Elephas maximus indicus: one gene and its partners. The protein of the gene in region 4 purifies or fractionates together with the protein of the main gene of each other region. This does not show direct contact. Links are inferred from orthologs where the notes say so. Each region holds a gene or a part of one and is shown on either strand. Other genes may lie near its edges. The genes, in order: MORF4L1, ACTR6, SMARCB1 and histone H2A.Z.

Region 1 (7,783 bases), on a different chromosome or scaffold from region 4:
ACCCTGGTCTTCCCCATATAAAACCCTCCCATCGATGCTTTAGGGTAGACAGAATTTGGGAGAAATTTAACCCCCTCTGTCTCTTAAATACCAGTATTCAATAAAGCTCTCTTGCTGCTTACCTCCTCCTGTCTCAGTATTGGCTTTGCCACAGGCGGCTGGAACCCACAATTTGCGGTAACAATATCCCAAGACTTCATGCTCAATTAATTTATAAAGGAAACATTTTAAGGACGTGTGCAAATTTCTTGTGGTCCGGTTTATTCAACAAATAAATGGCAAGAAAAAGAGACAGAGAATCAAATGAAATGTGTGGACCTTGTTTGGAACCTGATTTGAACAGCCAGTCTTAAAAATCATGTATGCGGCAATTGGGGGGATCTGAATACTGACTGGATATTTGAAGATATTAAGAAATTGTTTATTTTTATATGTAATAATGGTATTGCCTTAAAAATGTTCTTATTTTTTAGAGATACATACTAAATTATTAATGGATGAAATAGACATGATCTCTGGGATTTGTGTGTATTTATATTTTGGGAGGAAGAATGGGGGAGTACCAATGAGATAAGACTGGCCATGTGTTGATAATTGTAGAAGCTGAGTGAAGGATACACCAGGGTTCATTTATACTATCCCTTCTACTTTTGTTTATGTTGAAAAACTTCCATGAAATGAAATACCATTTGATAATGCAAAAACAAAGTGTCTTAAACGACTTAAACCAGTCATCAAACTTAGCATCACTAATAATTGGACAACTAGATATTATGTGCCTTCTTATGTTGACAGCATAATGTATCATCTATAGTGGAGCCCTGGTGGTACAGTGGTTAAGTGTTCAGCTCCTCTCCCAAAGGTTAGCAGTTCCAATCCACCAGCCGCTCTTTGGAAACCCGATGGGGCAGTTCTACTCTGTCCTGTAAGGTCACTGTGAGCTGGAATTGACTTGAAGGCAATAGATTTGGTTTTACACAATATTCAGTCAACAAAACATTCAACTTGAATCTAATCAAGCCTTTAGATCTAACTTTCGGTTTATAGGAAATACAATGGAGAGAGGTTATGTAACATCATGAGTAAATGATCAGACAAATCCAGAATGTCAGCTAGTCAAAACGCCAATGTCACGAACAGTTATTAATGCTACTACTAATAAAGTGAGGGGGAGCACTTTTTGTGCCAAGGACCCTGCTTAGGAGTCTGATGAAGCCAATGAACTCTTATTCAGAATAGTGTTTTTTAAATACACACAATAAAAACAGGATTTATAAAGAAAATTATATTGAAATATGATTATCAAAAATATTTTAAAATGTGATATGGTGGTATGGTAATATATATGCTTAATTATTAATGCATTAAATAACAAGAACTAGCGGGAAGTCTAGTAGCTACTTACTAGTTTTTAGTTATTTCAAATTAGTGATAAACGTAAAATACATTTGAGATATCTGCAATAACCGTAACATACTATGAAAACATCTATAATTTCTATTGGTGACAAAGCCACAGGTCCTGCTAATACTGCTGTAGTTTGGTACCTTTATTTAGAATGAAAAATTAGATTTTGGTGAAAATAAAGAGGTGAATTTTTTCCCATCTAAGTTCATGGACCTTCTGTATTATATCCATGGACTCCCAGGTTAAGAACCTCTGGTCTAGGTTTTAAAAGATTAAAGAGGTCTGTAATGTACTATCATTTAATGGTTCTTGTTTTGGAAAAAACAAGCAAACAAATATAAAAATATTTTGTGGACAATTAAGGAAATCTGAATACGGAGTGAGTTACATGATTTCAGAGAATTATTGTTAATTTTATTTGGTGTGGTAACAGTATTGTGGTAATTAGGAGAACGAATGCCTTTATATTTTGGAAACGCATACTGAAGAAGTCAGGCATGAAGGGGCATGATGTCTTCACATACACACACACAGCGCACACACATATAGGAAGATGTTTACAATTCCTTTATGTTGAATCGAGATGGTAGATACTGTATTATTCCTTTTACTCTTCTGTGTGTTTGGAATTTTCATAATAAAAAGTAAAAAAAAAAGTGACTTTACGATCTTTTTATTGAGATATAATGTAGATATGGTCAAGTGTATTCACTGTAAGCGTATAGGTTGATGAATTTTTACAGAGGTAAACACCCGTGTAAGCATACTAGCTCAAGATCTAGAACATTTCCAGCACCCCAGAGTTCCCTAGTACCCCTTTCCCAATCAACCTCCCCTTCCACCCCAGTTAATCACTGTCCTAATTTCTATCAGCACTGATAAAGAATATACTCTTTTGTGTCTGGTTTCATTTGCACAACATGACTTCTTGATATATTAAAACAAATTTTTAGAGATTGATAATACCACATTTGGCAAGGATATGGGAAAACAGGCTCTGTCTTAAATTGCTGGTTGAAATGTAAATTGGTGAAGCGTTTCATAAGGCTGTTTAAAATACTCACATCCTTTGACCTAGTAATTTTACATCTAACCCTTTGCCCTTAAGTCGATTCCGGCTAGGGGTCCTAAAACAATAAAAGCAATGTACATGAAGATACAGACTCAAAGGCATAAGTTTCTAATAGTCAAAAATTGGAAGCAACATAAATGTCCAGTAACGGAAATGAGGTTAGATAAATTATTGTATATTTACACTATGTGTCATGGATTGAATTGTGTACCCCCCAAAAATATGTGTAAACTTGGTTTAGGCCATAATTCCCAGTATCGTGTGGTTGTCTTCCATTTTGTGATTGTAATTTTATGTTAAGGGGATTAGGGTGGGATTGTAACACCACCCTTACTCAGGTCATCTCCGTGGTCCAGTGTAAAGGCAGTTTCCCTGAAGTGTGGCCTGCACCTTTTACCTCTCAAGAGATGAAAGGAAAGGGAAGCAAGCAGAGAGCTGGGGACTTCATACCACCAAGAGAGCAGCACCGGGAGCAGAGCGCATACTTTGGACATGGGGTCCCTGCGCCTGAGAAGCTCCTTGACCAGGAGAAGATAGATGACAAGGACTTTCCTCCAGAGCCGACTGAGAGAGAAAGCCTTCCCCTGGAGCCAATGCCCTGAATATGGACTTGTAACCTACTAGAGTGTGAGAAAATTAATTTCTTTGTTAAAGCCATCCACTTGTGGTATTTCTGTTATGGCAGCACTAGATGACTAGCACACTGGACTGGAACCCTTGGTGGTGTAGAGGTCAAGAGCTGCTGCTGCTGACCAAAAGGTCTGCAATTCGAATCCACCAGGCGCTCCTGGGAAATCCTACGGGGCAGTTCTACTCTGTCCTATAGGGTTGTACAGGGTGGCTATGAATCGGAATCGACTGGACCGCAACGCGTTTGGTTTTGGGGTTGGTTTATACTATATGTCATGAGGTATTAAAGGTGTGAGATACAGCTATATATATAATTGGAATGACCTCAGGCCATACTATTAATTTAAAAAAGAAGACGACCCAGAACAATATGTGTAGTCCACTTATGGTAAAAGAAAAAAAAAAAAAATTGGGGCTGAGAAAGATGTATACACCAAATAGTGGGGAAGCAAACTGGGGAAAGTAAAAGGGGCTCCTTAAATTTTGTGCTGTATTCTGTATTTCTGAATTCTTACATCGTGTACAAAAGCCATGAAAACAAGGATTTGTATAAGGCCTCTAGATAAGCTGGGAACTGTGTGTGGAAGGAAATTAATCTCCAGACTAAGGATTTTGGGATATATCCTCGAGTTAATGTTTAATGAGCGCTTATTCACTGTTTTTTTTGGGTGTGTGTGTGTTTTGTGTTATTCACTGTTAGGCACGCCGCTAAGCCTTTACGTGCAATTCTCATAATAAATCGGTTGAAAAGATGCTATTATCATTCCCATCTTGTAGCTGAGCAAACTAGGTACTGGGGAACGACATGGGGAAATCCGTTTGTTTAGACTCTGTGTATTTTGAATAAGACTTGCTCAAAGCAATTAGGTGACAACAAATGGCACAGATGATAGGGCAGGTGCAGAACCCCGAATTTGGCGGTGTTTGGTATTACTCACTTTAGAGTTTTTTGGCGGGCACAAATCCATTGATCTCAAAAAGCCAAAGGTCGATCCCCTAGTCTGCCTAGTGTTTCCCACTTCATCTTCTTCCTCATTGCCACAGGAACAGGGCTGGAGAAGAGGGGGCCTGGCTATCAGCTCCACCGAATATACCATCAGTGATCTTCCAGACGCATACCCTATTTCCCACCCCCTTCCCGCCAGAGCCCGTAAAGCTTTCCTACTACTCTGGAAAAGCTACTGAAAGTGAGTTTCAGGGGCAAGGCTACTGCAACGCCCACATCATTGCAGCCTCATTTTGCCCATGGGATTTAGCCTTTCCCATTCTTTTACTGTTGGTGGTCCCCAGCAACAACACACAAAATCAAATCCAGGCTTTAAGAACTCCGGATGGGCCAGGGGATGGAGAATGAGAGGCGGGAGGTAAGGAACGGGTGGTGGGGAATAAGAAGCGGGGGATGGGGAAGGGAAGAAAGAGACACCCGCCCCTCCCCCCACTCCGTCGCGACTCAACTGACTTGGAACTACCAATCCCGGCGTGCCCCGGGACGGCGCCGGCGCAGGAGCGCGTGCGCGGCGGGCAGCCGTTGGCTGAAGCTGCGGCTGCGCTGGTCGCGGTGCTGTGAGGTCTGCGGGCGCTGGCAAATCGGGCCCAGGATGTAGAGTTGGCGGTGCCTGACGGCGCGTCTGAGGCGGAGTTGGGTGGGGTAGAGAGTAGGGGGCGGTAGTCGGGGGTGGTGGGAGAAGGAGGAGGCGGCGAATCACTTATAAATGGCGCCGAAGCAAGACCCGAAGCCTAAATTCCAGGAGGGTGAGTCCGTTTTTTTGGGGAGAGTGCATCTAACGGCTCGGGAGAGGGAGGCGGGCTTGGGATGGTTGAGGTTTGGGGGTCGGGGGCGGTACGGGCTGCCCCCCGAGAAGGCGTCAGGCAGTGCTTTGTGCAGGCAGAGCGCATTGCGGAGGACAATTTTCGTGCGTCATTGGGGAAAAAACGCTCTGTGAGACGAGTGGGAGAGGGAACGCTTTGCGCGTGGCAGAACCTTAGTCAAATGTTTGTTATTGTTCTGAGGAAGAGCGCGGGGAAAGCAGCCTATTGTAGGGAGGCGACGGATGCGCCATGGCGGCCGTTAGGGGAAGTGATGTGGCGTGGGGGGAGGGGAGTTAACGGCGGTCGTTTTCGGGCGCTTTCGCGGGGATGCCGGCTGCGTGGGCGGCCAACGGCAGGCAGGCCGGGCTGCTTCGAGCCCCGAGGTGGTCGCCTTCTGTGGCGACTCAGAGGTGCGGCAGGGGGGTGGGTTTGGTGCCTCGGGGCGGGAGAGCCGCGTTGTAAAATGGCCGCTGCAAAATGGCCGCCCCATCATGGCCGCCGGCGTCTCGGCCGGGCCCGCAGAAGCTGCTTAAGGGCAGCTGCAGCGCCCCCATCCACGACAACCATAAGCGTTCCCTACCGCTTACCTCAGCGAGGTGGGTGGGGACAAAAAAAAAAAAAAAAAATAGCTTTTTCCTCTGCTTTGTGTTGCCTGAAGGCATCACTTTGCTTTCCTAAGACTGGAGTGCCAAGATTGTATATGAGTGTGAGTGTGCGCTGTTGCTGTGCAGTTGCTCGTTAACACAAAATGACTTTAATGCGGTGTTACTGATGTTTCCATTTATAATAAGTCTCGTTGCCTTGGTGTCGTTTTTAAAGCAGCAGGTATTTGACTAATTGCAATAACTTTTGATTAACAGTGATTGGGAAGTTGGATTTTTTTTTTTTTTTTTATCAATTGGCTTTTGATGGACAAGTGTTTTGGCTGGCGTTAGAACCTGATCTCCAGTGGTAGACAGCTCTTTAATTTTCACAAACAACACATCTACCCCAAACCAAGTATATAGTATTTTTAAGGACTGTTTAAGTTTCCAAGGGTACTTTTGATGAATATTGCTACCTTTTCCCATCTTGAGAAGCTAGCTCTACCGTACCTCTTACGGATTTATTATCTTACTAGGTGCTTTAGAGCAAAAATGCTTAATCTAGGTTCAGTTTATGGAATTCAGAGGGTCCGTGAACGCGGACGGGGGAAAAAATCTTTTTTTTTTTTCTACCTTCTAACTAAAACACTTAGTATTTCAATTATGAATGTAGACCCCCTGAAAACAAAATACCGATAGTAGTATTAGCAGTAATATGACTTTGTTACCAATAAAAATCTCAGATATTTTCATATCCTAACATTACAGTTCTGGAAGATATCTTTAGACATCATGTATGCTCCCCATTACTTCAAAATTATGGTAATTACTGGATCAACAGCTAAATTTTGTTTATTGCATTAAGGAGCACATATAATACCACAGAACATAATATTTAAAATATTTGGTAACTATTTCAGTATAGTTGGTTTCCTTTGTAATACTTTGTTCTATGCGTTTAAAAACTTCCTAAGCCTGTGAGGGGCCTGTTGTAGGATATGGAAAGAGGAAAACGATTGAGGTCTGGCAGTCAACGATGGCTTTCTGGAGGAAATGCTTTAGTTCTAAGCTTGAGAGATGGTGGAGTGAAGTGGATAACAGCAAATAATGTGTGTATTGCTATAGTGGTGGATTGGAGGAGAGTAGGAACCAAGGTTAGGACAGGTAAGGTTTTGAAAGTTAGGCCGGTTGTCTCTGCACTTACCGTCCATTACTTTTCCAGGTGTGTTTTCTACTGAAGTCAATACTGAATCATAGAATCATCTTTAAGAAGTTATACTTATTTATGAAACATGTTTAGAGGGTTTTGAAAAGAATATTAATGCTAACAATTACCTTGAAACAGTGGAAAAGTTCAGTTTATGAAGTAAAAAATAGGGATATGAATTATGAAAGTGTGGAAATAGCCTTTTTAATTGCTTTTCATGATTCTTGAAGGTTTCTCGTTTAATAAAGATACAGAGTATGTTATGTAAGCAATTTCTGAGCACAGTGACTACTTTGCACTGGACTTGGTCTTCCACTTGAATGTCTATTAAAGCACAGGGTAAAGGAAACTTAGGGGTCCAGCCCATTGTCAGGGGTTAAGAGACTGGCAGATGATGGCATGAGAGCAGTGTTCTTAGGAAGCACAAACCAGTAGGAGGATGGGGAATTGGAAGCTCATCAAGCTTGAACTCGAGCATTGGGTAGAATTTCCCTTGTAATTTGATGCTTGAAAGGATGAGGAAAAAGATGGAGCAGAGGAAGGCATAAGAAATCACATCCGAATGGTGTTTTGCTCTTTACTCAATTACTAATCTGTTGCCATGAAAAACAGCCATTTGTCATCATGTGTCATACTCCCTAGCAGCTCTGTATTTTGTTCTCAGCAGAAATACAGGACTAGGTAGGAGGTCATAAGACCTTAGCCTTAGTGTGATTATTTTTGGCAGCAGCAGCAGCCAAAACAACAAAAAACCCTGTGATAGACCCATTTTCAGAACACCTTTAGAGTGCATCTGAAGAGAGAAATTAGGAAGCAGATCTGATCTCTGGTGCTGCTGCTTATTAGCACTATAGCTAATCTGTATCCCCACGTTAAATTGCCCACAGTACTCAGTGATGATTCCAGCCCAGCTCTCCTTGGCTTCGCACATGTGCACCTGTTCATGAGATATTTCCATTTTGGAGGTGCTGTAGGCACTGTTACATAGTCCAAAGTTGATCCGAACCCTGCAGCACCCATTTCATGTTCTGGTTAATGCTCCCACTAGCCTGAGAGTCTGTCTGAATCTTTTTT
Region 2 (8,017 bases), on a different chromosome or scaffold from region 4:
AGCTGTGTGATCTTAGGAAAAGTATTGAGCCTCTCTGAGCCCTGTGGTGCTATTTACTTTATGAGGTTGTTGTCAGGATTAACTAAATTAATGAAGATAAAGTACTTAGCAGGGTGCCTTACACAGTAGAATCTTGTCATTTGTTGTCATCCAGTCAATTCTAACTCCTGGAGGCCCTATGTGTGCAGAATAAAACTGCTCCATAGAGTTTTCTAGGCTGTGACCTTTCGGAAACAGATCTCCAGAACCGTCTTCTGAGGCGCCTATGGGCAGGTTTGAGCCACCAACCTTTCAGCTAGTAATTGAGCACTTAACTGTTTGTGCCATCCAGGGACTCCATTATAAATTCAGTAGGCAAAAAAGGATGTTTCAGGCAGATGGAACACCATTATGAAAAAGCATAGAAGTGAAAAAGTTTATGACTTCTATAAGTGGCAAGTGGCCTAATGATGTGGTTAGAACAACATGTGGGCCCCTTTTCAATGTAACAAATACCAGTGAAATCCACAAGTAATTCATTGTAGTTATAGTATATTTTTGTTGACAAAATCCATGATAATAGTTTCACTTCTATTCTCCCTGGATTGTTATTCTTAGGTGCCATCAAGTTGGCTCTAAATATCACAAAACCACCATAAATTCAATAGTGCTTTTAAATTAAGTTATTTTTATTGCTATTTAATTAGAATTATAATAAAATACAATTTTCAAAAAGTTAAAAAAGTGTCTGTCATACAAATATATAATGAACAGGCATTAAAGATTTATTTAGCTCATATTACTGTGGGAACCAGCAAGATGAGAACCTACAAAGTGGAAAGCTGTTTCACTCATCAACACGAGTTAAATAAATCTGTGACACATGTTCATTACATATTTACATAAGAGTCATGTTATTAACTCTTAAAATTATGCCTTGACAGAATATACAAGCATTTGAAGAATAATACTTAAATGCTCAAAATTATTTGTGCTAAAACCTGGTGTGAAGGTGAAGAGAGGCACTTTTTACCAAACATTTTGTGTTCCATCCAGCTCACACAAGCTCTTGAGAGACAACTGTGTGCCTCTCTTACCAACTCCATGTTCGGTGACCTTGCAGTACCTTGAAATCAGCCAATGGTGACCGTATTTACTAACTTACAGAAATTAGCGAACATCATAAGTCAGGAGACTTTTTCCTGTGGAGATTTGGTTGTTAAACATTTACCAGCACACTGCTGTAAAGTGAGTGGAAGGGGATAAGATTGTAAATGTAAATATACGGACATTATTTTGTAGGCAATGGCAAGTCACAGAAGATTTTTATGGTGGGTGAGTTGAGGAGGAGGATCAGATTTTTTATTTAGAAAAATATTTACTGATAATTATGCTGGCAGTACAGAGGATGGATCAGAATAAGTAGAGAATGGAGGTGCAAAGAATGTTGGGAAGGCACCGCCATTATTTCAGGTGAGAGATAAGGAAATATTAGTAAGAATATAAGAAGATCAAGGACAGATTCCAGAGATTAAGTCAAGAATAGGAGTTGAAGGAAACTGAGGTTTCTAGCTTAGGGCATAGGAGGTACTCACTTGTCTATGCCAAGAAATTTTGAAGATAGCTACCTGGCCAACTGACTGGAAGAGATCCATATTTATGCCTATTTCAAAGAAAGGTGATCCAACTGAATGAGGGAATTATTGAATAATATATGCAAGTAAAATATTGTTGAAGATCATTCAAAAGTGGCTGCAGCAGTACATCGACAGGGAACTACCAGAAATTCAAGCCAGATTCAGAAGAGGACCTGGAACAAGGGGTATCATTGCTGATATCAGACGGGTTCTGGCTGAAAGCAGAGAACACCAGAAAGATGTTGACCTGTGTTATTGACTATGCAAAGGCATTTAACTGCATGGATCATAACAAATTATGGATAACACTGTGAAGAATGGGAATTCCAGAATGCTTAATTGTGCTCATGATTTACCTGTATGTACACCAAGAGGCAGTCGTTGGAACAGATTAAGGGGTACTGTATAGAGTTGCTATGACTGGGAATCAACTTGATGGCACTGGGTTTGGCTTTTTGGTTTGGTATAGTTTAAAGCTAGGACAGTTGTAGGTCAGGGCCGTATACTTTCATCATACTTATTCAATCTGTACGCTCAGCAAATAATCCGAGAAACTGGAGTATATGAAGAAGAACGGAGCATCAAGACTGGAGAAAGACTCATGAGTAACCTACATTATGCAGATGACACAACCTTCCTTGCTGAAAGTGAAGAGGACTTGAAACACTGTTGAAGATAAAGTACTACAGTCTTCAATATGGATTACACTTTCACATAAGAAAAACAAAAATCCTCACAACTGGACCAATAAGCAACATCATGATAAATGAAGAAAAGACTGAAGTTGTCACGGACCTCATTTACTTGAACCCACAATCAATGACCATGGAAGCAGCAGTCAAGAAACCAAATGACATATTGCATTAGGCAAATCTGCTGCAAAAGATCTCTTTTAAGTATTAAAAAGCAAAATGTCAGTTTAAGAACTAAGGTTCACCTGACCCGAGCCATGGTGTTTTCAATTGCCTCATACGCATGTGAAAGCTGAACAATGAATAAGGAAGACTGAAGAAGAACTGATGGCTTTGAATTACGGTGTTGGTGAAGAATATTGAATACACCATGGACTGCCAAAAGAACGAACAAAGCTGCCTTGGAGAAGTACAGCCAGAATGCTCCTTAGTGGCAAGGATGGCGAGCCTTCGTCTCACATATTTTGGACTTGTTATCAGGAAGGACCAGTCCCTGGAGAAATACATCATGCTTGGTAAAGTAGAACGTCAGTGAAAGAGAGGAATATCCTCAACAAAATGGACTGAAACAGTGGCTGCAACAATAGGCTCAAGCATAACAGTGATTATGAGGATGGGGCAGGGCTGGGCAGTGTTTCGTTCTGTCGTACCTAGGGTTGCTATGAGTAAGAACCGACTTGATAGCACCAAACAACAACAGCTTAGAGTACTAGGTGGATGAGACACCACCAATTGATATAAGGGGAATAAGCAGTTTTGGAGATAAGATTTGTTGCATTTAAACTTTCTTCAAGATATACTGGTGGAGACATTCAGGTTACAGTTGGTAGTGGAAATTCTGGTTTAGGATTTATTAGTATTTAATGATAGCTGAAGCCAGAGCCAAGAATGATCTTTATGAAGGAGTATGTAAGCAGGCGAGGAAAAGAAAATGAGAAGCCTAACTGAGAAACAGCTAATTAGGAGAGACACAGGATTGAAAGAGCACATTTTGAAAGGTGAGAGAGAAATGAAATGGTAGCTGCTCTATAAGGTAAGTTTGATAAAATAGTCTTTACGTGTTTGGAGTAAGTCATCTTACCACTTTAACATTAGATTAAATAGAGTAAATTTGGACACAGTTAACTTTGGACATTCAACGAACTTTTGAATAGGAAGGGATATACCAAACCAAATCCATTGCTTCCAGTGGATTCTGACTCAGTGACCCTATAGAACTGATTAGAACAATCCCACCGGGTTTCCAAGGCTGTAATCTTTACGGAAGCAGACTACCACATCTGTCTCCCATGGAGCAACTCATGGGTTTGAACTGCCAACCTTCTGGTTGCAGATGAGGGCTTTAACCACTGTACCACCAGGGCTCCTACAAAGGGATACGTATACACACCAATAAAATATTATGCCTGATCCCAAGGAGTTTGCCATCTAAGCAAGTTAACAGAGGATGATCATATGGTAAGGGACGATGATGATGATATAACTGCCAGGTACTTGAATTTGTCATTTACTCTTCATAAAACAATTGTGTAAGGGAATATTATTAATATTATTCCATTTTACTGATGAGGAAACTAAGGCATAGAGAGGTTAACTAACGTGCTAGGATTTGACCCAAGAATTTGACTTCAGAGGCTGCACTCTTAACCACGACCTCTTTGATTTCAATGATAGTACCTGCCTCATGGGGAGAAAGAACTGGATATCTGCTACTGCAAAGATTACATCCTAGAAAACCCTATGGGGCAGTTCTATTCTGCCCTATAGGGTCGCTATGAGTTGGAATCAACTCCGAGGCACCTAACAACAACCTACCTCATAGAGATGTTGAAAATATAAAGCCTTTAGAAGCTTAAAAAAAAATTTTTTTAGAAGAGCGCACCTGCAAGCAGTAAATGTTGTCTAAGTATTAACCATTATCATCATCATCACCCAAGGTTACACAGCCATTTTGTGGCAGAGTCTGGATGTGAAGCCCAAACTGATCCTCTTAACCGTTATGATATACAGGGGTTAGCCCGGACTATTACAGCAGCACGTAGGAAAACCAAAAAACCCACTGTCGTGGAGTCATTCCCACTCATACCGATCCCATAGGACGGGAGCCTAATTCCAGGAAGGGGAACGAGGAGGGAGAGTGTCAAATGTCTAGAAGCCTTCTTAGATGAGAAAGACGCGTGAACTCTGTCCTGAAGAGCAAGTAGGCATAGTCCAGGAAAGAGGTGAGTGGAAGTGCAAGTGTGAGGAAGAAAGCAAGACGGGTTTACAGAACAGCACATGTATGATTCACAGTGGGTGGATCTTTCAGTTGCACAGGGAGTGGAAGGGGATGAGAATGGAGAGATCTCATACACAGTTTCACAGTGCGTATGGTTTTGCACTCTATTCCTCAAGAATGTTACTGTCTGAACAATACTATTTGAAGACAAAAAAAAAAAAAAGCTGTCTACAAGGGTTACAAGAAACTTGCATGAGTAAGTCGATCTGCGAAGTAAAGGACAAATACGCAATGGGCGAAAGGCACTTAGCCGTTTCCAATCTTGTCAGATCTCCCCACCACTCTAAACAAGTTAGGCTTAGAAGCATAGTATGACACTCGCGGACACAGTCCTCCGCGTCCAGTCTCTGGCTTCCGGCGTCCTCCGTTGTTAAGGAGACCGGAAACACGTCCTAACGTCCCGCCCAAGCAAACCACAGAGAGCCGGAAGAAGAGTGAACAGAAGGGTCGGGAAGGGAAAGCCGTAGCAGTGGGTGTGTGCTTGTGCTAAAATGACAACCTTGGTGCTGGATAACGGAGCCTACAACGCCAAAATCGGTTACAGTCGTGAAAATGTCTCGTAAGTGTTTACGTAGTTTCACACGCCAGGCTTTATCTTAGGACATCGGTGAACTGCAGGCGCCCCTGCGCGGCCCTAACCTGAGCCAAAGGGATACTGGGCTTGGAGGTGTGGGGGTAGGGATGCTTTGAACTGGAATTGATTTTGCTTTTAACTTTGGGCTGTGCTGCCCCGGAAGAAGGATGTGTGTTTCCGTTCGTAACAGGAAATAGCCTACCTAACAGTCTTCTAGAGAAGCTTTTATTGACAGCAAACGAAAAAAACCAAAGCCGTTGCCGTTGAGTCGATTCCGACTCAGCGACCATATAGGACAGAGTAGGACTGCTTCATAGAGCTTCCAAGGAGGGCTGGTGGATTTGAACGGCTGACCTTTTGGTTAGCAGCCAAGGCCTTAACCACTGCGCCACCAAGACTCCTTTCTTGACAGAGTGATCTGTAAACAAAGTTCATGAATCCTCGGGAATTGTGGGCCGCATATTGGATGTGTAGGCATTCTCCTGGAGACGCGATTATAGCTTTCACCAGATCGTCAAACGGATCCGTGGCCCAGAAAAGTCTAAAACCATTTTCTTAATGTCTAGAGACCTTGAAGATTCTGTATTTAGTCCCTCTGGACACTTGGAAAAACACCCTCTCCTTTGCTTCTTTTATTTATTTATTTTTTGTATTTCAAACGAAGTTTTACAGAGCAAACTAGCTTCTCATTAAAAAATACACATATCGTTTGGGACTTTGGTTGCCAACCCCACGACATGTCAACACTCTCTCTTCTCGGCCTTGTGTTCCCCGTTACCAGCTTCCATGTCCCTTCCTGCCTCCTTGTCTTTGCCTGCTCCTGGGCTGGTGTGCCCATTTGGACTCGTTTTGTGTTATGGGACTGTCTAATCTTTGGCTGAAGAGTGAACCTCAGAAGTGACTTCATTCCTGAGCTAAAAGGATGTTCGGGGTCTTTTCTTTTTTAAGGAGGCAGTCCAACTGTTTAGGAATGTAGATTGGTACAGTCTCTCTGGAAAATATTTTGGCGATGTGTATCATTGTTTGTATCCTATGATGTGGCAATTCTGTTTCTTGTCAGTTACGTAAGGAGTTAATTACAGGTGCTTGATGAAAATAACTAGAAGGATGTTATATATTCTTTATAGATGTTGCGTATGGTAGCAAATTAATAAAAAAGGGGAGGGGGAGGGAAGCAAGCTAAGTAATCAAGAATAACAAGTTGGTTAAATTATACAGCCCTAAGATTGAATACAATGCAACTTCTTAAAATATTCTGCTCAAAGAATTCTTAAACATACAGAGAAAATGCTGACAGTGTAGTAGGTGAAATAAGTAGGTACAAAACATTTTTACAGTATTATCCCAGTGTTCTCATCTATGTGTATGTGTGTGATTGATAATGGCTGTAGTTTATCTTCCTTAACCAGACTGTAAGCTCATGGTGAGCAGAAGTCATTTAAAACTACTTACTTCTGTACCTTGTGGCATCTTGCATACTGAAAAACGTTGGTTTCATGGAAATAATTTTATGGCCAGAATTTTGAACTTGCGATTCTTTTACCCGAGTGGTTGAAAGGATTTCCACATGAAAGCCGGAAAGACCAGCACCTTTACCTGGATCCTGGTTCCCAGCTATGCAGTGGTGGAATCAGTAACCAACAACCAACCATTCAAGGCGATTCCAATACCCGCCTGTAAAGATTTCTTGAGGATTACTTTGCGAAAGACCAAGGGTCTGGCACAGAGCCTGATACATACTAGAACCTTAAAAAAAAGGGGGGGATTTTTTTTTATTTGAAGACAGAATGAGAAACACAGATTTCCAGTGTATTAATTTTGGCATCAGTAAATGTATTTTGGGGAATAAGTGTTTTGGGAATAATTCTGTTGTTTTTTGTTTATAGGGTTATTCCTAATTGTCAGTTTAGGTCAAAAACAGCACGTCTCAAAACCTTTACTGCTAACCAGATAGATGAAATTAAAGACCCTTCTGGACTCTTTTACATCCTTCCTTTTCAGAAGGTAATCCAGTTATGTGTCATTTCTAGCACTGTAGATCTCAATTTATGAGACTTAGTAAGTATGTATGGGAACATTTTTAGATCTCTAAGAAAAGGTGATTTAAATTTTAACTAAGATCTTGTTAAAACCAAAAAGTGAAATTAAATTATCTTGATAAAAACAAATGACCATCATTTAGTTACTGATTCAGGTACTGAATCTTGTTTATTTTAAAAGCCAAATGAGCTGACTGCGTTAATGTAAAAAAATAAGTGTAAAGAGGCATCTGTACATATTGGTCTGTCTTTTGAACCCTTGAAAGTTTGGTATTAATAATTTGTATAATGTTTTTGACCTTTAAAAGGAGAAAAGCATGCCAATATGATTGTTTGTAATTCATACAGCATTAGACTGGAGAAAATAAGCATAAAGAGAAATCAATGATTTGCAATATATTAATCTTTGATTTTTAAAAATTGTTCAGATACTCTTGATGATTTGTAACTTTTTTTAGGGCTACTTGGTAAACTGGGATGTTCAGAGACAAGTTTGGGATTATCTTTTTGGAAAAGAAATGTATCAGGTAACAGACCGGAGTATGTATTCAAACTCTATTTCCATGTCTTATTCAAATGAGAAGTGAGAACTTACGTTTTAAGATTTATAGACTTACAGATTTGTTTCTAGTATATATTTAAATCACTGTAATTTAGTGTAGCTGGCTTTGATTTTCTAAATGTAAGTGAATAGAATTTCTGTTCTAAAGAGGTTGAACAGAGAAAGTCTGTATGCAACTCAGGGTTAAAATCGTACTTCAGATTTCTAATAATTTTATTAGACCAACTCACTATCTCACTTTTATTTTCATGATAAA
Region 3 (7,080 bases), on a different chromosome or scaffold from region 4:
AGGTGCTGGCTTCCTTGGAGACCCTGATTGCTTTCCCTTTCTGGGTCCCTCGACTCCTCGGTCAAATTTTCAGCACCGTTGAACTCAGTCCCACAAAAGATCACTGCTATGACTTTTCCCACTTTACCCACCCAGCATAGTATATTTATTAAGTGAAAACGAGTTTCTCCACATTTCACGAGTAAAGATGTGTATAAGCATCAACCAGAGTCTCTGTGTAGCATGAGCCCCTCCTGCTTCAGATAGAAAGCACAGATGCCAACCACTGAACCTCCTGGCCTGTGTGTGCTGGTGCCACCCAAGGGTAAGCACAGAATTCCCATGAGGTTTTTGAAAAGAAACTGACCACAGTGTCCCCCATTACTACCCTGGAGGTCCCTCGGGACTCTGGGACTCCTCAGCCCCTCCCAAGACCCCTTCAGGCGACTGTCCTCCTGGGTTTTCCCTGAATCAGCCCTGGCCCTCTATGAACCCAGGTGTCCCAAATGTCAAATGAAGGTACTAGGCTTAGTGATTTCTCAGGGTCCTCTCAGCTTTGTGACCTGGCCTGGTGACTATAGCTGCCTGTAGATGGCGGGAGAATAAGGACACGCACTCACAGCAACTGCAGATGCCACCCAAGGCAGCTCCACGGGGTACCGCACAGGGCGTTGGGGGTGGGGTGGGATGTGACCATGGCTGGCCTGCCTCTCTGAACACAGAGTCTGTTTCCAAGGGCAAGGGGTCCAAGGGCCATCTATCCAACAGTCACCAGAGCTACTGAGTATCCACAGATAGCATTCTGCTCTTGAATCCTCCCTTGAATGCCAAATGGCTGATGCTTGTTAAGCCTGGCCCAAAAGAACAGGTGTAGGCCTCTCCCACTTGGGGCTCTACAGACTGGACCAGGCACAAAGGGACCCTCATGAAATCACTCTCACTCAACAAGCTGGGCCAGGAGCAAACAGGCTGAAAGAAAAGGCTGCTGTTAGCTTTCGAGAAACCTAAAGTGTGTCACATGGAAGGTCTTCGAGACCATGCTCACTATATAGGTGACAAAAATGATGTAGGCGGAGGAGGCTGGAACTAGGCCTCCAATGGTCTTCCCACCTGGCTGCTGCTTCTTCCCAATTACTTTACGCCACCGAATCATGGGAAGCTTTCTTCTCAAGAGGACCACCCACTCCAAGTCAAGGGCATTGTTGTTATTAGGTGCTGTCAAGTCAGTTCTGACTCATAGCAACCCTATGTACAACAGAACGAAACACTGCCTGGTCCTGCGCCATCCTCATAATCGTTATGCTTGAGCCCATCGTTGCAGCTACTGTGCCACTCCATCTCGTAGAGGGTAAGCGAAAAGCTAACCCTCTAATTTACCATTAGGTCAGGTAAAGATTTATCCTTAAACAGCTTGCACCACGGCACATTCGGAAACTCCTTTTTGAGCCCTGAATGTAGGTGGGTGCCGACCAGCTGGTGAGGCCCCTTCTGAGCAGGGGAAGATGGACAGAAATTGGCAACATGTCCGCAGCTAAGCCTTCTTTGAACAGCAGCACTTATGTGATAACATGAAGAATTTATTGCATCCCGCTCTCCTGTTTTATAAAAACTGGTGAAACATTAAAGTTCTGAGGTAAGCGACAACACCGGCCTCACAGACTAAGACAAGGTGGGAGTCATGAGGGGTCCTGACAGCCTCAGCGTGACAATCACAGGTTTGATTCTTTCATGCTATGCTCAGTGGTGAAGAAAAGGAAAGACACTTTAAAAAAAGCATGAATGAGATGTTGGAGTATGACACTGAAACCTGCTACAACAGAGAAGAGACCCTTGGCATTTTGTGGTTGTGTTCGCACTCCAAGATTGGCACTTACCTTGTCACATAAGAAACTCAACGGTGTGACATGTGCACGTGTAAACTTTATTTACACCCATCAATTAAAAAAAGAAATATATATTAGTTGGGTACTGACTTTAGGTGAGAAAAGACTAATACGAGGCAATTTGGCAAAACTTAACGTAGTACAAACCCCCGTTAGATGGGGCGGTTGTAGGATTTTCCTAAAGCCAGTTCGCCAGCTGGCTCACAGTACTGTCGCTTCGAATTGAGGATTAAAGAACAGAACCTTCTCCCCTTAATAATTCAGGTCAGTCCGTTCACAAATCTCCAAAACGTCAATTGCTTCGGAAGTGCTGAGAGATGTCCCTCCTACAGAGTCGCTATGAGTCGGAATCGACTGACGGCAGTAGGTTTGGCCCACCTCCGCGGCAACGAACACAAACCGGCAGGAGCCCTCACTAAGCCCCAGGTTTCCAACCCGCGATTTCAGGATCTTAGACGGAACAATGGGGGCGGGGTGCACATGAGATTGTCAACATCTCAAAAGACTTAAGGGCAACATTGTGACCCCTTCATGCACCGCAGGGACTAGCCACAAAAAACAACCCACAACACCCCTTTTATTTGCGTCTTTGCTGGCGCTGGACCAGCTTAGGCGGTCCCCTGGCACCTCGCAGGACCTAAGCCATGACGCGGGGTGAGCCCCGGACCACGCGGAAACCGAACGCCAACCCAGAACGCCGAGAGCCCGGGGCGGAGCCTGGGCAGACCACACCCCCGAAAGGCCTCGCCCCGGCCACGCGCGCGCGCCCGTCGCGATGAATGGAGACGGCCGCCCCCCGCGCGCAGACCCGCCCCGGGCCTCCTGCGGGGCGGGGTGGGGCGAGGACGCGCCGCGGGTACCTCGGAGCCGATCATGTAGAACTCGCCGTCGTCCTCCAGCTGGAACTTGACGGGCTTCTGCCCGAAGGTCTTGCTCAGCGCCATCATCATCATTGCGGCGGCGGAAGCGGGCGGCCGGGGCCGGGCTGCGAAAGGTCGGGAGGGCTGAGGCGGGGCCGGGACTAGCCGCGCCGCGCCGCGGAGAACCGAGGCCGGGAGGCGAAGGCTGGGCCAGATTTGGTGCTCGCGTCGCTGTGGACTTGTCAGCCTCCGTCGCCGCCTAGGCCGCTCTCCATGCGCATGCGCGGGCGTTGACGCAGACGCGCGCGCCACCGCCCAGACAAAAGATCGGGGCGCGCTCCCCTCCGGCTCCTTAAAGGAACCGTGACCCGTTTTTCTTCTGGTTGCCTCCCAAAGTCCTGGTGCATTGAAAAGCTTCTAGCCGACAGAAAATAGCAGCTGAGGGCCTGACTCAGGCGGTGGCTTCCAAGTCTCACAGGAAGGACTGGAACTCTGCCCAGTGGAGGAGGAATGAAGGGGGACCTGAAGGCCAGGAGGAGGAAAGGACTATATCTGGAAACCTGGCAGTACTTTTTGAATCTAGGCCAGCCTCAGTTTCCCCACCCTGAAGTACAGTGCTGCCGAGCAACTAAGAGGGTTCATGAAAACAAATGTGCCAGGTCCACACCCAACTGGTTCTGCGGCTGTGGGGGTGGGTAAAATGACAACAGTGAAGTGGGGATTGGCATGAGCAAAGGCCTAGGGGCCTGAATGTAGCTGCATTTGGTTTGGCTGGTGTATCAGATGAGTGTGGGAGGGGAGTGTCAAAGAGTAAAAACTGTACATACTGTTAATGTAAAAGTAAAGAGGTTTATTAAAGGCAAGGTACAGTTTTGTTGTTGCTCGGTGTGGTGGAGTCAGTGCTGACTCATAGCAACCCGATGTACAAAAGAACAAAACACTGCCTGGTCGTGCACCATACATCATCGTTATGCTTAAGTGCGTTGTTGCAGCCGCTGGGTCAGTCTGTCTTGTTGAGAACCTTCTTCTTTTTCGATGACCCTCCACTTTAACAAGCATGATGTTCTTCTGCAGGGACAGATCCCTCCTGATAACATGTCCAAGTATGTGAGACTAAGACTTGCCATCCTTGCTTCTAAGGAGCATTCTGACTGTACTTCTTCCAGGATAGATTTGCTTGTTCTTTTTGGCAGTCCGTGGTATATGCAATATTCTTCGCCAACACCATAATTCAAAGGCATTGATGCTTCCGGCCTTCCTTATTCACTGTCCAGCTTTCACATGCATATGAGGCAATTGAAAACACCATGGCTTGGGTCAGGCTCACCTTAGTCCTTAAAGTGACATCTTTACTTTTTAACACTTTAAAGAGGTCTTTTGCAGCAGATTTGCCCAATGGAATGCATCCTTACATTTCTTGACTGCTGCTTCCATGGGTGTTGATTGTGGATCCAAGTAAAATGAAATCCTTTAAAACTTTAGTCTTTCTTCTCTTTATCATGACGTTGCTTGTTGGTACAGTTGTGAGGATGATTGTTTTCTTTAGGTTGAGGTGCAATCCATACTGAAGGCTGTGGTCTTTGATCATCAGTGCTTCATGTCCTCTTCACTTTCAGCAGGGTTGTGTTACCTGCGTGTCGAAGGTTGTTAATGAGCCTTCCTCCAGTCCTGATGCCACGTTCTTCTTCATATACTCCAGCTTCTTGGATTATTTGCTCAGCATACAGATTGAATAAGTATGGTGAAAGGATACAACCCTGACGCACACCTTTCCTGACTTTAAACAGCGTTGTACTCCAGGATCTTGAAATGTTCTTTTGATGATGAATGCAACTCCATTCCTCTTCAATTCGTCATTCTTGGCACAGTAGACCAATTCAAAATGGCCAGTACCAGTCCATTTCAGCTCACTAATGCCTCGGATATCAATGTTTATGTGTTCCATTTCATTTTTGATGACTTCCAATTTTTGTAGATTCATACTTCATACATTCCACATTCCAATTATTAATGGGTGTTTACAGCTGTTTCTTCTCACTGAGTCATGTCACATCACTGAGTGAAGGCCCTAGAAGCTTGACTCTATCCTTGTCATTAAGGCTGACTCTACTTTGAGGAGGCAGCTCTTCCGCAGTCGTATTTTGAGTGCCTTCTAACCTGTGGGCTCATCTTCTGACCCTATATCAGACAATATTCCACTGCTATACATAAGGTTTTTACTGGCTAATTTTTTTCAGAAGTAGATCGCCGAACTTCCTAGTTTGTCTTAGTTTGGAAGCTCAGCTGAAACCTGTCCACCATGGATGACCCTGCTGGTATTTGAATACCAGTGGCAGAGCTACCAGCATCACAGCAACACGTGAGCCCCCACAGTATGACAAACTGACAGATACGGCGCGGGGGGGGATACATTTTAAACTGGGGAAACATTAGATTTCACAGAGTGAAATCTAAAGCCTCGAAGAGTTACAGGCATCCATGCAATATTTATATTGTTAAACCAGGAACTAGCAACATAATACTCTGATTGGTGCTTAAAAAAACCCATTGCGGTTGAGTCGATTCCGACTCATAGTGACCCTATAGGACAGAGTAGAACTGCCCCATAGTTTCCAAGGAGCGCCTGGTGGATTCGAACTGCCGAATTGGTTGGTTAGCAACTGTAGCACTTAACCACTACACCACCAGGGTTTCCGATTGATGCTTAGTGAGGTAAAACAGTTGAGGGTGGGATATCTGGAAATGGGGAAACTTTTCTGATTTGTTCAAAGGCTAGATGTGGGTTTTGTTTTGAGAACAGGTGGTAAAGATTAACTTGCTTAAGGGAAAGTTCTTTGGAGAACATTTTACCCAATGGGGTTTGTTAGCTCCCTCCCCCTAGTTTCACGTGTACTTTTGACACTGGTAGCCTAGCTCTGGCTTATAAGAAGGCAGTATGTACTCAAACTTTATAAAAAACAGAAAAATCAAAATGTGGCTAAGACAGTTGCAAGATCAGAGAGCCATGACTAGAAGACTCCTGGAGTCTTGGAAACATGTTCATTAATCTCGTTTCCTGAGAGGACAAATTTCAAGTATTTTAATAAGCCTGATTACCTAAATACAATTATGTGAAACTAGACAAGTTGCTTCTAAAGGTTAATTATAGTTTGAGAAAAACATTTGGTATTTCAGTAGCCTACACAAAGTTTAACTGTTGCTAAGGAAAAAAGCAGGACAAGCGAGAGTCTGAAAAGATACAAGATGGAGTTGGGCTTAAACCTGAGCCAGCCCCCCTCAGAAGTATCAGGCACCCTAATTTTAAAATTTCGTACATAGGAGGGACACCTCTGTTCCTGCCTCCACTCTGGTGTGTGACTACAATAAGCCCAGCGGGTATAGGTGAGTGAAACCAGACAGCCCTGCTGAGTGGCATCAGAGTATTGGCTGTATCCCTCGGAACGATCTACTAGGCTGAAATGGCCTGATAGCAGCATCTGGTTCCATCCTAGTGGCCTTGCTGCTGTGGTAAGTGCTATGAAGAAGACACATGTGGGGCTGGGCAGCGTGGGCTGGAGATGCTGGAGAGTCAGGAGGGTGGGCCGTGGTCCCCCTGAGCCTTGTTCTGTGTCCTGACAGCAGTGGGAAAGCAAAGCATTTTAAAATAGGGGCAAGGTGGGGCATGATCTCATAAAATGGCTATTTCGTGGAGGACAGAGGGGGCAAGCTTGGAAGCAGGGAGCCAATTAGAAAGCCACTACAGGTGTCAGGAGTCCCCAAGTGGTGCAAACAGTAAACGTGAAAGTTTGGAGGTTCAGGTCCACCCAGAAGTGTCTCAGAGAAAGGCCTGGTAACCTACCTCCAAAAAAGCAGCCATTTAAAACCCGATGGAACAGTTCTATTCTGACACACATGGTGTCACCTTGGGTGGGAGTCCACTTGACAGGCGAGGCATGATGGAGGATAAACAGGAGGCGCCCTGAACACTAAACCCAGTACCTGGGACCAGAGGCTTGGGGCAGGCAGGCTGCAGCCTTGCCTCACAGTGAGGGAGCAAGGCCTCCTGCACCAAGGCCAACTCTTTCCCTGCCTAGCCATGCTGCCACAGAGAGACACCAGACAGGCAGGTAGAAAACGAGTGTGTTTAATGACAGTCCTTCAGTAAAAAAGGCTCTGTACACACTGTACACAACACATTTACAGGGCTTTGGGGGTCCCAGGGAAATGGCACTGGACGAGGGCTGTAGGAGCATCCATCTGGGACAGGAATGAGGTATGTTGGGGCCTCCAGGGCCAGGGGTGTCCAGCAGGAAGCACCTCCCCCTCCCCAGCTCACTCTGGTCCTTTTGGCCTGGATCCCAGGGAGCAGAACTCCAGGA
Region 4 (6,774 bases):
GGAGAAGGACATCATGCTTGGTAAAACAGGATCACTGAAAAAGTCGAAGACCCTCAATGAGATGGAATGACACAGTGCCTGCAACATGGGCTCAAACATAGCAACGATTGCCCAGCACAGGGCTGGGCAATGTTTTGTTCTGTTGTACAAAGAGTCACTGTGAGTCAGAACCAACTCAATGGGCACCTAACAGAGGCAGGTTATATATATACCCTACCTGCCCTCTCCCTCCCAGTATTATAGTACACTGGTATGATACCATCACACAGAGCAAGCACAGCAAATGTACAAACTGGTATAGCCACACCTTGGCCTAAAGGAAGTTTCTCCCACCGCAACTCGTGCCAAAGCTTTAAAATCTTTAAGAGCTCATTATATAGTATCAGGGGCAAAAATCATATTAGGGCCATCTAACTTCACTGATCAATAGAAGTAACAGTTTAATTCCCAGGTAAGAACCCTGTTTAGTCACTGCTGGATTCAAACAGATAAATTCCTATTACAGTTAAGCAAATTTAAAACACAGCTAAGTTTGGGATATGACCTTTATTGAGCTTATCCACCAGAGTGGAAATAATGTCTGTACAAAACCAAATGTTTGTTACTATAACTTCTGCATCACAATTAAAATCCAAACAGTTTTTTAAAAACAGTCAACTCAATCAAAACCCACTACTTCAGAATCAATAGCTTCTTTGAAGCCACAGTAACACTTAAATATGGTTAAGACTCGAATGCAGAAATTTGGTTGGTTGGAAAGCTAATTAAACTTCCAACTTGCTCAAATAGAATTACAAAAAGGCAAAATTGTGTTTGTCACAGAGATACAGTCCACTGGAATCACCAACACTGGACAGCTGTTAGAGTATTTAGAGTCCTGAGATAATAAGGAATCCAGGCATCCTTTAGACAGTCTTCTGTTGTCCTTTCTTCCCAATCAGAGATTTGTGGATGTGGGGAATGACGCCTAGAAGAGTGACAGGGATTAACTTGACATATATAAAATTTAAAGTCACATAGTATATAACCCAAGTAACTTATTGTTCAACTTGAAAGGTTTTTTAAAAAATATTAAGCTTAAATATGCAAAATAAAAATTCATTGAGTTAATTTACGTAAATCAAACGTCACAAATCTGCAACCATGCTGCATCAGTGAAAATATATGTATTCTTTTAGACTATAAAAGTAACAGAAATTAAAGATGCAAATAATTCTTTTCTCTAGTTACATACCACCACCAGCAATTGTAGCCTTGATAAGAGAGTCCAATTCTTCATCTCCTCGAATAGCAAGTTGCAAGTGACGAGGGGTAATACGCTTCACCTTTAAGTCTTTTGATGCATTTCCTGCCAGTTCAAGTACCTAGACAACAGAATCTATTTAATCTCCTTCCAACTTTCCTCAGGCCAAGATCCAGAGCACAAACAAGGCTTCATGAGGGTAAATCTACCCATTGTCGCTGCCCCCCCCCCCAACTTAGTGGCCAGATATGCAAAAGCTATAAAGGGGACACGCAATTATTTACAGCAGCAGCAAACTCAAACTCAATAGGATGCCTTGTTGAACACCAGCTCCCTCTAGCGTTCTTCGAGGCTTCTCGCCGCGTTTAGGGCCTGGGAGTTTTCTTGCATCACTTTCCTCCTTCCCTCTCACCTCCCTCCCCCCGCTCCAGCCTTTTCCAGATTATAGGCGTACACCCATTTACCTCTGCGGTGAGGTACTCCAGGATGGCTGCGCTGTACACAGCGGCAGTCGCGCCCACACGTCCATGGCTGGTCGTCCTAGATTTCAGGTGTCGATGAATACGGCCCACCGGAAACTTAATTTTAAGCACACATAAACATAAATGCACAAACATATAAGTCAAAGATAGGAAAATCATACGCGCGCCAAAGCAAGGAGCATGGGCGACGCTGGTGCAGCAACACGCTCCAGTATCAACACACGTGATCTCCTCCCCTTCCCGACATTTATCGTTATCGACAACCCAAGTCGCGACACCTCGTCGCCCACGAAAAGACCAAACGCCAGTCAAGAGCGATAATAAACAAGAAAGGACGGCAAAGAAAAACGCCACGACTCCAAGGCTGCACAAACAACTACTGACCTGCAAGCCGGCTCTCTGCGAGCGGGAAACCGCCTTTGTCTTGGCCTTTCCGGAGTCCTTCCCAGCCTTACCGCCAGCCTGCAGCGCGCACACGCCCGCGAGCGGAGGAGGAACGGAGAATATAGGATTACCAGGGCGGCGCGCCCCTCCCCCAACGCGGCGCGGCCCGGGCGCGAGCGCGGCCCCGCTGGGGTCTCCGGACCGCCGCGCGCCGCAGGGGCGACCCCGCCCGCCGCCGCGGCCGCGCGCCTTCACCAGCCCGCCCGCCCCCAGGGGCGTTGCGCGCGCGACCCAACCGTCGCCGCCCGCCACGAGACCGGAGGTGGCTACGCTCGCCGACGACAAAACACCTCCCCCCGCTCTTCCAAATCCTGTCTCCGCGCGTTCTCAACCGCCGCCACTTCACCCCCCCCATCCCCGTGTGTAACGGGTTTTTCTCCCGCCGGCAAAAACCCACGAAGTCGTCGAGCGCCTCTGCTAAGTTTACCATTTCGAAATCTGCTGAAGCTCAAACAAGCAAGGCAGAGAAAGGGCTAGTCAAACACCCAGCGAGATCCCGGCAGCTACTCCGTCGCACCGCGATTCAAACTGCGCTGTCTCCCGCCTTCCCCGCTCCCTTTATACTGCAGAATGTTCCCTCATCCGGGAACTCCGATTGCTCATCGCACCAATGGCTGCCACCCGCCCTCGGGACGCGTCCTTGAGGCCTCAGCCAATGAGCAGGCGAAGGAAATAGTGGAGGGGCGGGCGCTTCGCACTTCGAGCCGCGATTGGAGTTTAGGGAGGGAGGTGGGGGAGGGCGGAGGGACAGGAACGGGTAGAAGAAGGGCACGGCAGCAGGAGGGAAGAAACACAGCGAGCTACCCTGCGAGAGCGAGGAGACCAGCCGGTTGCGGTCACGTGTCTGGGAGGAGGAGCTGAGAGGCTCTGGGGAGGAGCACACAGTAGCGCCCCTTCTCCTAGTTTCCCTGAGGATCTCGAAAGACCACGTGTCGGGGTCTAGCGCTCCCTCCTGCCCCCTCCCACCGTGCCCTACCCGCAGAGACCTGCTGGGCTCTCCCGCTTTCCTCCGGGGGCCCTGGGCGCCCTCCTCTCCCACCCCTCCGCATCCCGGGAGTCTCCTCCTGTCTGACAGGTAGCGCGAACGCTTCGAGAGAGGGGAGCCGCGAAGTCAGCCCCGCTCACCCGCGACCCCAAGACTTGATAGAGCTGCCCGGTCTGTGTCCTAGAAGAGTCTTCAGCCACCGACTGATCACGACCCGCTGCTCCCACTACGTTTTCGGCGATGTCGTCCACACCCTCTTTCCTCACCACTTTTGAAACAGGATAGTTCGACGAGGAACAAACAGTGGAGCAAAGTCACTTTACTGGTCACAGAAGACTTGTCCACCTTGCAGGGGGCTTGAGGTGAGGCAGTATTCTCTAACCAAGAAGTATTGTTCTCGAAACTACACATCAGTGGGTTATACCAATAGCCTGGTGCCTGAAGTTGATTTACTGAAACCTCGGAATTATTATGTGTCAAGTTTTCTACACTAAAATTTTTGCTACATGACAAATGTTCAGTAAATGCCAGTAGGGTAACTCGAACATGATTCACAGGCAGTTACAGATGGTCCATGTAATCAATTGCAAATGGTAGGCTTAAAATATAGTACTGTACCCACAGTCCTATCATAATGCCAGCTACTTAGCCTTCCAACTAATAGATTAATAACACCTGTGTACATCTCCAGCTGCTTGGGATAGTAATGATATAAATCTTCAATACTTACACTGTTTAATAGCATATTGCACTTTTTAACATAATTGAATAGTTCTGATGTAAATAAAGATTTGAGATATATAAGCTAAAGTACTTTCGATTCGGTTTCAATTTGAAAGAAGAATTCTGGAGAAGCGGTTCCCGACAATTTTGACACCAAAAAAAAAAAAAAAAAAACCACTGCGGTGGAGTTCATTCTGACTCATAGTGACAGAGTAGAACTGCCCTATAGAGCTTCCAAAGAGCGCCTGGCGATTCAAACTGCCAACCTTTTGCTTAGCAGCCGTAGCACTTAACCACTACGCCACCAGGGTTTCCGGAGGGCCGTTTTATTATTTCTCCTGTTTGGAACTGACGTGTTCTTATGATGTAACCAATAAGCAAGAGTTAATCACCCCCCAATGAATTGATATAAGGGCAATTAAAAGCTAAGAAACCTGGCATAACAGATAATCTAAGCTCCACTGAGGATTTGTGAAATATAACCCACAAACCAGCATTAGTACCCTCTCCAGGTTAGAGAATACAAACATGTGATCTCTGTTACAAGACCAGGTAAAGGAATTTACTGTTGCCTCACCGAATAGTGGTTAAACGAGAATGAGCTGAGGAGCAGGTAACCTGAATTCTGCTCTGTCTCTACCTCACTGTTTGATCCTATTGCTAATCTTTTGCAGCCTTGACTTCCTCTTCCGTGAAGAGTATAGTAACACCTGTTTTCAGGTGGTTGTTGGAAGATTGGAAACCCTGGTGGCATAGTGGTTAAGTGCTATGGCTGCTAACCAAGAGGTTGGCAGTTTGAATCTGCCGGGTGCTCCTTGGAAACTCTTATGGGGCAGTTCTACTCCGTTCTATAGGGTCACTATGAGTCGGAATCGACTCGACGGCAGTGGGTAGTAGTAGTAGTAGCAGTTGGAAGATTGCAGCCCTGGTGGTGCAGTGATTAAAAGCTTGGTAGCCAGTTGGAATCCACCATCCGCTCCTTGGAAGCCCTATGGGGCAGTTCTCCTCTGCCCTGTAGGGTCACTGTGATCAGAATCAAGTTGTTGGCAAAGGGTTTGATTTGGTTTTGGTTGAAAGATTAAGGAAGAAGGTATATAAACTATAGCATGTGTTTGGCACACAACAACTGGAAGAAGCAGTACTCAATAAATATCTTCTACATTGGATGCCGGGGAGAAGTGAAATCAATATTTAAAGAATTTTTAATTCCTAAATCTTTTTTCCTGTCTAGTATACTGTCTTCCTTGGGTACAGAACCATCAAGCTTGAAACCTGCCCAAAGTGTTATGAGTCGGAATTAACTCCACGGCAATGGGTTTTTGTTAAGGTGAACAGGACAGTTACAGTTTCTCAACTTTTCAGAGCACTTACGTGATGATTTTCTACTCTCCTGTCCTGGGGTAAAAAAAAAAAAAAAAACCCCGTTGCCATGGAGTAGTGACCCCATAGCGACCCTACAGGACAGGGTAGAACTGCCCCATAGGGTTTCCAAGGAGCAGATAGTAGATTCGAACTGCTGTCCTTCTGGTTAGCAGCCAAGCTCTAAACCACTGCGCCACCAGAGCTCCATCCTGGAAAAGGCAAGTTGCAGATACATTAATATTCTTGGCTTTTCTTTCTTGTTCTTGTCTTCACGCTACTGTTTATGTATGGCCATTCTTTTTATTTAATGTCACATGCAATTTTTTTTATTTAATGTCATGTCAACTTAGCTACTTAATAAATGCCCTCTAGTCATTAAAAATAAACTGAAATGAAGTAGATATTCCTGGTATTATTGACTCTTTCCTTAATAGCCGTTTCCTAACTCTAAGACCAATTATTATTTCCTCTCAAACACTAGCATGTACTTTAACTGTTGTTTCTCTTGACTTTTTATGTAGAAAATTTGATAGTCCCACACTTGAGAATCTCAAATTTTTCAAATACATCTTGTTTTAAACACCTATTTTTCTGTTATTTCAAAGGCTAGTAGTCTCAGTAGATAACAGGAACTTAGCGTCAGAATCTTGGTTCTCTCTACATAGGGCATTCAGGAAAGAACATGCCTTAAAAAACTCAGTTGTCAATACCTGGTTTCCAATTATTAATTTTAAAGTAATCTTGTTATTTTAAAAATATTAATTTTTAATAATTATTTAGTTTTAATAGTTTTATATTTAAATTTAATATTTTAAATTACTTAAAGTTATTATTTTAAAATTAATTTTTTCAATAACCAACATATCTCAGAAATTTTGAAGGAAATTTGATGGTTGTTTTAATGTTAAGAATCAAGTATCTTTATGTGTTAATAATCGTTTTCCCAAATAAAATTTCATATATATTTATATTTCCTATATTTTGTAACTGATCTCCTCAGCTGAATTGTAAATCCACAGGCAGCATGAAGCCTCCACCACCACAAGTTTCTAACACAATGGCAAGAAGATTGCTGTAGACATTTGTTGTTGTCGTTAGTGGCTGTCCAGTCGATTCCAACTCACAGTAACCACACGTGTACTGAGTAGAACTGCTTCCTAGGGATTTCAAGGCTGTGACCTTTGGAAGCAGATTGCCAGGCCTGTCTCCCAAGGTAATTTTGGGTGGGTTTGACCACCAACCTTCAGGCTGGGAGTTGAGCACTTAACTGTTTGTACCACCCAGGGACTCCTAACACATTTTTATTATTGTATTGTCTTCTTTTATCTGTATATACGCAACTGAGATGGAACGCAATACCACACATCATACATAACCCCTGCCAAATAATGGAATACACATGATACATTCCAAGTTGGTCCTGTCAACCTCTTAGGTAAAATAGAGCACACTCAATTGTATTACATGCCAGGTGTCTTAGTCATCTAGTGCTGCTATAACAGAAATACCACAAGTGGATGGCTTTAACAAAAATT

Evidence for each region.
Region 1: the proteins of histone H2A.Z (region 4) and MORF4L1 purify together in Homo sapiens (affinity purification with mass spectrometry; 4 studies listed by BioGRID and IntAct, with this or other methods). This does not show direct contact. The link is inferred for Elephas maximus indicus from reciprocal best matches to the Homo sapiens genes H2AZ1 and MORF4L1.
Region 2: the proteins of histone H2A.Z (region 4) and ACTR6 purify together in Homo sapiens (affinity purification with mass spectrometry; 4 studies listed by BioGRID and IntAct, with this or other methods). This does not show direct contact. The link is inferred for Elephas maximus indicus from reciprocal best matches to the Homo sapiens genes H2AZ1 and ACTR6.
Region 3: the proteins of histone H2A.Z (region 4) and SMARCB1 purify together in Homo sapiens (affinity purification with mass spectrometry; 3 studies listed by BioGRID and IntAct, with this or other methods). This does not show direct contact. The link is inferred for Elephas maximus indicus from reciprocal best matches to the Homo sapiens genes H2AZ1 and SMARCB1.

The regions. Positions count from the first base shown.
Region 1 is NC_064831.1:68,715,184-68,722,966, forward strand, and holds the start of MORF4L1 (mortality factor 4-like protein 1), read left to right. Parts: upstream 1-4,761; 5' UTR 4,762-4,821; coding exon 4,822-4,861; intron 4,862-7,783. UniProt on the Homo sapiens protein: Component of the NuA4 histone acetyltransferase (HAT) complex which is involved in transcriptional activation of select genes principally by acetylation of nucleosomal histones H4 and H2A.
Region 2 is NC_064822.1:166,283,597-166,291,613, forward strand, and holds the start of ACTR6 (actin-related protein 6), read left to right. Parts: upstream 1-5,017; 5' UTR 5,018-5,077; coding exon 5,078-5,145; intron 5,146-7,046; coding exon 7,047-7,164; intron 7,165-7,657; coding exon 7,658-7,726; intron 7,727-8,017. UniProt on the Homo sapiens protein: Required for formation and/or maintenance of proper nucleolar structure and function. Plays a dual role in the regulation of ribosomal DNA (rDNA) transcription.
Region 3 is NC_064840.1:22,469,647-22,476,726, reverse strand, and holds the start of SMARCB1 (SWI/SNF-related matrix-associated actin-dependent regulator of chromatin subfamily B member 1), read right to left. Parts: upstream 3,003-7,080; 5' UTR 2,816-3,002; coding exon 2,723-2,815; intron 1-2,722.
Region 4 is NC_064823.1:53,184,902-53,191,675, reverse strand, and holds histone H2A.Z, read right to left. Parts: upstream 2,734-6,774; 5' UTR 2,600-2,733; coding exon 2,597-2,599; intron 2,188-2,596; coding exon 2,110-2,187; intron 1,822-2,109; coding exon 1,708-1,821; intron 1,365-1,707; coding exon 1,235-1,364; intron 968-1,234; coding exon 906-967; 3' UTR 522-905; downstream 1-521. UniProt on the Homo sapiens protein: Variant histone H2A which replaces conventional H2A in a subset of nucleosomes. Nucleosomes wrap and compact DNA into chromatin, limiting DNA accessibility to the cellular machineries which require DNA as a template.